Drosophila melanogaster: one gene and its partner. The protein of the gene in region 2 binds, or shares a complex with, the protein of the main gene of each other region. Each region holds a gene or a part of one and is shown on either strand. Other genes may lie near its edges. The genes, in order: Bulli and Mon1. A codon is read from its position in the direction of its gene.

The links.
Region 1: the proteins of Mon1 (region 2) and Bulli are in contact, whole or in part, in a cryo-EM structure (PDB 8JBE), measured with the Drosophila melanogaster proteins. Residues at the interface, in NP_608868.1 of Drosophila melanogaster: Pro416 (codon at 3,231), Glu417 (codon at 3,234), Arg419 (codon at 3,240), His438 (codon at 3,297), Pro439 (codon at 3,300), Glu445 (codon at 3,318), Arg448 (codon at 3,327), Met473 (codon at 3,402), Lys474 (codon at 3,405), Glu475 (codon at 3,408), Arg476 (codon at 3,411), Glu494 (codon at 3,465), Pro495 (codon at 3,468), Val496 (codon at 3,471); in NP_648047.2 of Drosophila melanogaster: Ile561, Arg565, Lys568, Asp590, Leu592, His595, Ser596, Arg599, Phe600, Met603, Phe631, Pro632.

What each region holds. Positions count from the first base shown.
Region 1 is NT_037436.4:6,486,523-6,490,438, forward strand, and holds the start of Bulli (bulli), read left to right. Parts: upstream 1-2,158; 5' UTR 2,159-2,238; coding exon 2,239-2,346; intron 2,347-2,407; coding exon 2,408-2,891; intron 2,892-2,947; coding exon 2,948-3,340; intron 3,341-3,395; coding exon 3,396-3,654; intron 3,655-3,716; coding exon 3,717-3,916. Other genes in the region: CG10147 (uncharacterized protein), read right to left, coding at 413-1,273, 1,334-1,819. UniProt on the Drosophila melanogaster protein: Positive regulator of the Rab7 guanyl-nucleotide exchange activity of the Mon1-Ccz1 complex, possibly by enhancing its endosomal membrane association.
Region 2 is NT_033779.5:4,848,884-4,852,799, forward strand, and holds Mon1 (monensin sensitivity 1), read left to right. Parts: upstream 1-1,757; 5' UTR 1,758-1,867; coding exon 1,868-2,460; intron 2,461-2,524; coding exon 2,525-2,676; intron 2,677-2,730; coding exon 2,731-3,572; 3' UTR 3,573-3,757; downstream 3,758-3,916. Other genes in the region: CG11927 (uncharacterized protein), read left to right, coding at 1-441; mRpS2 (mitochondrial ribosomal protein S2), read right to left, coding at 629-1,398, 1,456-1,480. UniProt on the Drosophila melanogaster protein: Part of the Mon1-Ccz1 guanyl-nucleotide exchange factor complex specific for Rab7 that promotes the exchange of GDP to GTP, converting Rab7 from an inactive GDP-bound form into an active GTP-bound form.

The DNA of each region.
Region 1 (3,916 bases), on a different chromosome or scaffold from region 2:
TTTTGTTAACATTATTTGGGGTTATCGTCATATACTTGTACCTTCCACCTTCTGATTTATTGTCATTAACTTATACCCTACACCATAAGATTTATTGTCGTTATTGCGGGTTGTTGTCATATTAATTAGTTTCTTGATAAGATAGAAAAACTACAGCTTATTAATTAATGCCATTTACCCTAAACTTCCTGATTTGTTAACGTTATTAAGGGTAAAATGGCATGTATTTGTGCCATTAGAAACTAAGACTAGTTTATTAAAAATTGCCTCTTCCCTGCTCTTCTAATTCGTTATCGTAATAAATCCCTCAATAAAGGAGGTATGTAAATATTAATTAAGTTGTGAGTCAAGTAAAATACGATATGAATGTTGTACTTTCCACTGAACCTAAAATAGAAATATGTTAACTTCTTTAACCCATGCTAGTCAGTTGCAGCAGAGCACAAGCGGTCTGCTGATTATCCCCCGATTCGTGGACCTTGCGATGGGTGCGCAAGGCAGAGGGTTGTATAAATTTCTTGCCGCAAACGTGACACTCAAAGTTCTTTTCGCCAGTGTGGGTCATTTCGTGATATTTTCGCGTGTCGGTGGTGGCAAATTTCTTTTCGCAATAGCTGCAGGCATAATCTCGTGCCTTCTCGTGGATTGCGCGGATATGTTTCTTAAGACTCGTTGAGCTGTTGCAAACTTTGGGGCAATCCTTGCAGGACCAGGTCCTTTCCAGAGTATGATAGTTGATATGCAGTCGCAGTTCGTTTTTGGTCGTCTTCTTGAGACCACAGTAGGGGCAACTAAAGTTCTTTATGCCCTGGTGACGCATCATGTGGATCTTGAGTTTCTCCGTGCTATAGAATCGCATAGAACATTCCGGCAGTTCGCAGGCATATGGCAATACCAGCTGGTCACCGTGTGTGAACCGATGCTGGCTTAGGGCAGAGCCAGTCTTGAACACCCGACCACAGAACTCGCACATATGGGTCTTCAAAGGCTTGCCAATGTCGTGAGCCTTGCTTTGGTGGTATTTCAGCGAGGCCTTGTGCCGGTACATCCTGTTGCAGCCCTCCTCCTCGCAGACAAACCGCATGCCCACTTCCGAGTGCTCTAGCTCGTGCTGCCTGAGGTTCTCGAATCGGTTGAAAGCTTCCTCGCATCCGGGCTCAGTGCAATGATACAGCATGTGTCCCTGGTGTTCCTTCTTGTGCAGAATCAAGCGTTTCTCCTCTCGAAACTCGTCGGCGCACAAGTCGCACTTGTATGTGGTCAATGGCGGCTCCTGAAATCATTGAATACAACTTAACTTACACTCCTGTTTAAACCTTAAACCCAAACTCACTTCCAAAGCTTTCTTTTCCGTTTCCGGGGGTTGCTGGACATTTTCGGTGAAGGTATGGAATACCAAGGTTGGCGGTGCCTGTTCAGCGACTATTGGGGTATTTTGTGCACTCAAATTGGTATCACATATAATCATCTCCGGCGGCTCCAATAGAAGTTCTTCCAGCTCCAGCTCCTCTTCCTCATCTTCATCGACCTCGTAAACAGGTTTCCTGCGATCTATTTTCTTCCAAGTTACCAGACTTTTAGAACGCCACTTATTGTCGGCTATAATGCAAAGTGCTCGGAAGGAGTGGAACTTCTCCAGAAGCTCGTAGCACTCCGAGCAAATTTCGCTGGGCAAAATATCCTGGTCATCAGGATCCACCACCAAATTTGTGCACTCCGAAAATTTGACGGCGAGATATGGATGGTGCAGCAAATTGTAGGCCTCGTCGTCTCTAGCCACATCGCTGGAGCATACGCGGCATTTGTCCAGGTGTCCCATTAAGTGGTTGAATCAAAGTTATTGAGACCTTTTTTTAAATTCACAAGAAAAAATATTTTTCTGTGTCCTGTCTGCCGTTTTTTCTTATCGCTGTTGTTTGTATACTAAACAGCTGATAGGGCTGGCAAAAATACCGCTGATAGCAATAGTGATGGCAAATAATAGCGTGAGTTGGAAGGGGTTAAATAAATATAGTATAAATGTTTAAAAATATCTACTGTAAGCATACCACAAATAATGTTAAATACATTTATATTTTTAATCCTTGCACGTACAATAAATGAAATTAATCGTGACTTAAAACAGCTTGTTACTCGTGGCACATCTCTAGCACCCTGTGCTAAAGTCACATCTCTAATGGGGGGTGTATAAAAAGTTGTGCTGTTGCAGTTTGTTATTTATTTTTTTCCAGCACAACAATGGATAATTCCAATGGAATCCACTACATTGAGCTAACCCCAAATCCCATACGATTTGATGCTGTCAGCCAACTAACCAATGTGTTTTTCGATGACTCCAACAAGCAGGTATAGTTAAAACATGTTAAAAATCCATGTTGATGATGGCTAAAAATCTATATCTGTAAAGATATTTGCTGTTCGGTCTGGAGGAGCTACTGGTGTGGTGGTCAAAGGTCCTGGATCTCCCGACGATGTCGTCATCTCCTTTTGCATGAGCGACCGTGGCGGTGCCATAAGGTCCATTAAGTTCTCGCCGGACAACCAAATCTTGGCCGTTCAGCGAAAGGAGAATTCCGTGGAGTTCATATGTTTTCAGGGAGATCAGCCTCTGCTGCAGGACATCATTACCCACCAGGTGAAGACTCTGATCCATGGCTTTGTTTGGGTCCACAATCGAGAGGTGGCCCTGATTTCGAATACCGGCGTGGAGGTCTACACCGTAGTTCCTGAGAAGCGACAGGTGCGCTCTGTGAAATCCCTGAGCATTGGCATCAAGTGGTTCGCCTGGTGCTGCGATGCCAATGTGGCTCTACTGTGCACCAGCGAAGGAAACTCCCTGATTCCGGTGCTGGTCAAGCAGAAAGTAATCACCAAGCTGCCCAAAGTGGACTGTAAGTAATCCTTTTGGGTTAAAATCCTTTAAAAGCGTTTTAATCTTTCCTTTCAGTGGGCAATCCAAGTCGCGATGTCCAGGAGAGCAAGGTCACCTTAGGCCAAGTTTACGGCGTGCTGGCTGTGCTTATCCTCCAGTCAAATAGCACCACCGGACTGATGGAAGTCGAGGTGCACTTGCTCAATGGACCGGGCTTGGCTCCACGCAAGTGCCATGTGCTCCGCTTAAGTCTGCTTGGTCGCTTCGCCATCAACACGGTGGATAATCTGATTGTGGTGCACCATCAAGCTTCGGGCACTTCGCTGCTATTCGACATCTCCCTGCCCGGAGAGGTGATCAATGAAATAACCTATCATACACCCATAACTCCAGGGCGCTCCATCAAACCGTTTGGCCTGAAACTGCCCTCACTTTCGCCTGATGGACAAATCTTGCAGTGCGAGTTGTGTAAGTTCTTTAAATATCCAAAAAGTTACTTTATTTGACACTTATACCCATGCAGATTCCACGCACTGGGTACTGTTCCAGCCAAATATTGTAATCGATGCCAAGTTGGGTTGCATGTGGTTTTTGAACCTCTGCATTGAACCATTGTGCCAACTGATTTCGGATCGCATTCGACTTACAGAATTCCTGCTGCAACGCAGCAATGGCAAGCAGATGCTATTAAAAGTCATTGGACAATTGGTAGATGATCAGTATAAGGGAACTCTATTGCCAGTCCTAGAGACCATCTTCAGTCGGATTAACAAGATCTATGCGTAAGTTAAAGACGTTATTTTCATCAATATATATTTATTACATTATGCATGGTATACTTTAGGTCTTGGGTCCAGTTGGAGCTGCAAAATCAAACCGCTCAACCGTCGAACGTAAAAACTACTACCCTGAAACAGAGCACACCGCCCATTGTGCTCATTGAGCAACTGGATATGGTGCAAATCTTTCAGCGCATAGCTCGTCGCCCGTACACGGAATCCATATTGATGCTCTACCTGCAATCCCTGAACAAGTTCAACATTG
Region 2 (3,916 bases):
GACGAGCAGCAACTGGAACGACTACAGAAGGCCGAGGAGTATATAGTTGCGCACAAGGCGATGCTGACGGTGAAGCATGCAGAGCGCTGGGTGGAGCAGGACAAGAATGAAAAGGGCCAAGTGTTCGTGCGCAAGTCATCCAGCATCGGCTCGTGGGACATGTCCAAGGAGAGGCCGCCGAATGGTTTTGCGTCGATGCATGATTTCAAGAAGCAGCAAATGGATACGTTCTTCGGTCCCGGCCGTGCCATCAAAGGCGGTACGGATCTCTCCATCATTGGTACCTCAGCGCCGCCTCCGCCGCCACCTGACACCCCACCACAGATTACCAACTACTGGCCCTCTGGAAGTTCCAACAACACGGGGTCCAACTCCAATCCCTCGTATTTCAGCCACTACAGCAACAACTTTGTCAAGGGTGCCACTCTGCTGCCGCCCTAGAATAGCTATCCGAAACTAACCCAGGTCGTGGGTTTTCTTAAACACTATCAAATAGCATGGCACATGCACAAAGTTCTGCAATTTTGCAACCATATTTAGCAATTTCTTCTTCATCGTGGATTGACGGCCATTGGCATTTGTATTAAGATAAATGTAACAAAATCAACTTGACACTACTACTTGGCTATTACTTAGTTTTGCGACTGCGCCGCGGCTGGGATTCGTCCAGAGGCGGAAGGCCAAGGAGTTGGCGTCGTTCCCGCTTGCCACGCAGTATGGCTTCCTTGAAGAGGTTGCAATAGAGCTCCACTGCGGCCGGCGAGTCATCGTTGCCGGGCACCGGATAGGTGATCAGGTTGGGATTGCAATTGCTGTCCACTATGCCAATCGTTGGTATGGCCATTTTGGCGGCGTCCCGAACCGCCGTGTGCTGAGCCATAACGTTGTTTTGAGTGTTGAGGAAAATGCAAAGATCGGGCAGCCTGGTGACCGCATCGAATTGCACATTGGCATTGGTAAAGATGCCGCCGCGCCAAAAGCGAGTGTGCGAGAATTCACCGGCCTCCTGGGCCTTTCGCTCCACGAGATGTGAGTTCATGGCGTTGCGGTTGAAGAACAGAATGATGCCATCTCGGAAGGCAATGTGTGCGGCAAAGTTGAGGGCATCGCGCAGATGTGATGCCGTCTTGTCCAGATCGAAGATCAGATGACCTAATCGACTGCCGAACAAGTACGGACGCATTCGGTCGTCCAGGGAGCCCTCCTTGTGGCCATAGTGCACTCGGGCATTGAAGAGGTCGCGCACGGTGAACAGGTTGTGCACTTGGAAGTAGTCCGGATGCTTCAGAATCCGCTGTTCCACCAGGGCGATGTCCTCCGGTTCCGTTTCCACCGATTGCTCCGGCTGTGTGCTCTGCAGGCGTCGTGGCAGACCGCACATCTGACCAAAGCGGGGTACTACCAAGGGAAAGCATGTATAATTTGGTTTCCTTGATGTTTTAATTGATTACTTACGGTTGGCAAACGATTTTCTCAACATTTTGGAGCGGCTCGTGTTTTCATAACCTATGTTCTTCTTCTTTTCCGTCGATTTTGGTAAACAGCTGGTGGGTAGTGTTGGATAGAAGTGTTTCTATAAGAGGTCTTAAAACAAAAACAAAATAACAGATATAAAAATTTAATTATAATTATTAAGATAAAGTAATTCAAAATCCATATATCAAATTAACTTATTTTTCATAACATTTAAGAATGAATAAGCCTATCTTATGGTGTGTTTTCCGGAACACCCTTTATTTCACCTTCTGCTTCGGACAGTGTTGGGAAATCCATTCCAGCTGTAATGATTTAGTTGTAAATTTATGATATTGCTAAATATTGGCAAACTGCAATGTTCCAGCGACTGAAATAGTTAAACGAATTCGAAATGGAAGTAGAGCAGACGTCAGTCAGGTCGGACACGAACTCCACCTGCGAGTATCTAGACGCAGAGGGCGATCCGGAGTCCCCAAATCTCTATCAAGAGGCGGATCCCGACCAGGAGGCCGAGCAACAAAACCATAGTATTATCTCTGAGCTAAGAGATGGCCTGGGCACCATGCGAGATAACAGTGCCCTCAGTCCGGAGCCGGGGCAGGAGAACAAGGGACTGGCTGCCTCTGTGGAGTCTCTGGCATTGAGCACCTCGACCAGCGCCAAAACAGAGGACTCCATTGGCGGGGGACTGGAGGAGGAATACGATTACCAGCACGACAGTCTGTGGCAGGGCCAAAAGAAACACATCTTCATACTAAGCGAGGCGGGAAAGCCAATCTTCTCGCTACACGGCAATGAGGATAAACTGGCCACGCTTTTCGGTGTCATTCAGGCACTGGTAAGCTTCGTCCAAATGGGCCAGGATGCTATTACCTCCATTCATGCGGGCGGCATTAAGTTCGCTTTCATGCAACGCAGCTCGCTCATCCTGGTGGCTGCCAGCAGGAGCAACATGAGTGTGCAGCAGCTGCAGCTTCAACTGGGGTGAGTCAATTATAACGCACCTGATAGCAATGCTAACTAATGGGAACTTCCCATTCTTTACCAGGGATGTCTACAATCAAATATTGTCCATTCTGACGTATTCACACATGACGAAAATCTTTGAGAGGCGCAAGAACTTTGATCTGAGGAGACTGCTCTCCGGCAGCGAACGATTGTTCTACAATCTGTTGGCGAACGACAGTAGTAGTGCCAAGGGTAAGGATATCTAAGCATATCCAAATTGCTTAATTTCTCAACGACTTCTTTTAGTGTCCAACAACATCTTCACATTTTTGACCAACTCAATTCGCGTCTTCCCATTGCCCACAACGATACGATCGCAAATCACCAGCGCCATTCAGAGCAACTGCTCCAAGATCAAGAACCTGGTGTTTGCCGTGCTAATTGCCAATAACAAACTGATAGCATTGGTGCGCATGAAGAAGTACTCCATCCATCCGGCTGATTTGCGTCTGATCTTCAACCTGGTAGAGTGCTCCGAGTCCTTCAAGAGCTCCGAGAACTGGTCACCAATTTGCCTGCCCAAGTTCGACATGAATGGGTATCTGCATGCGCATGTCTCGTACCTGGCGGATGATTGCCAGGCCTGTTTGCTCCTGCTGTCCGTGGACAGAGATGCCTTTTTCACGCTGGCAGAGGCCAAGGCAAAGATCACGGAGAAGCTACGCAAAAGCCACTGCTTGGAAGCCATCAACGAGGAGCTGCAGCAGCCGTTCAATGCGAAACTCTACCAACAGGTTGTGGGAATCCCCGAGCTGCGGCACTTTCTTTACAAGCCCAAGAGCACAGCTCAACTGCTGTGTCCCATGCTCAGGCATCCGTACAAATCTCTGACGGAGCTGGAGCGCCTGGAGGCCATCTACTGCGACTTGCTGCATCGCATCCACAACAGTAGTCGCCCGCTGAAGCTTATCTACGAGATGAAGGAGCGCGAGGTGGTCCTGGCCTGGGCAACCGGAACCTACGAACTGTACGCCATATTCGAGCCGGTTGTGGACAAAGCCACTGTGATCAAGTACGTGGACAAGCTGATCAAGTGGATCGAGAAGGAGTACGACGTGTACTTTATACGAAACCATGCCACATTCTAAGCTTTAGCGCGCTTCGCTAGGGCATTGTGAGATATATGACTATTTTTTTATTGCTCCTCTGCCAATCGAACCAGGACAAAGTTGTTGTGCTGCAGTTGTGACGGCGTTTGTTTAACTGAACCTAGTATACCAGAATCACGCATGTACATTTGTAATTTAAAACTTTAAGTAAATTCTAAAACTTTATAGATAGTTTATCTCTTAGTGGATCTATAGAAAACTGAGTTCTGTCGAAAGGTTCGAGTCACCGCTAGCGCAGCATATCCTTTAAGTTCGGACTCAAACCAAACCGGTTATCTTCGGGGATGGACTTTCGAGAGCGAAAGGAATCGCAGAGAGAGCTT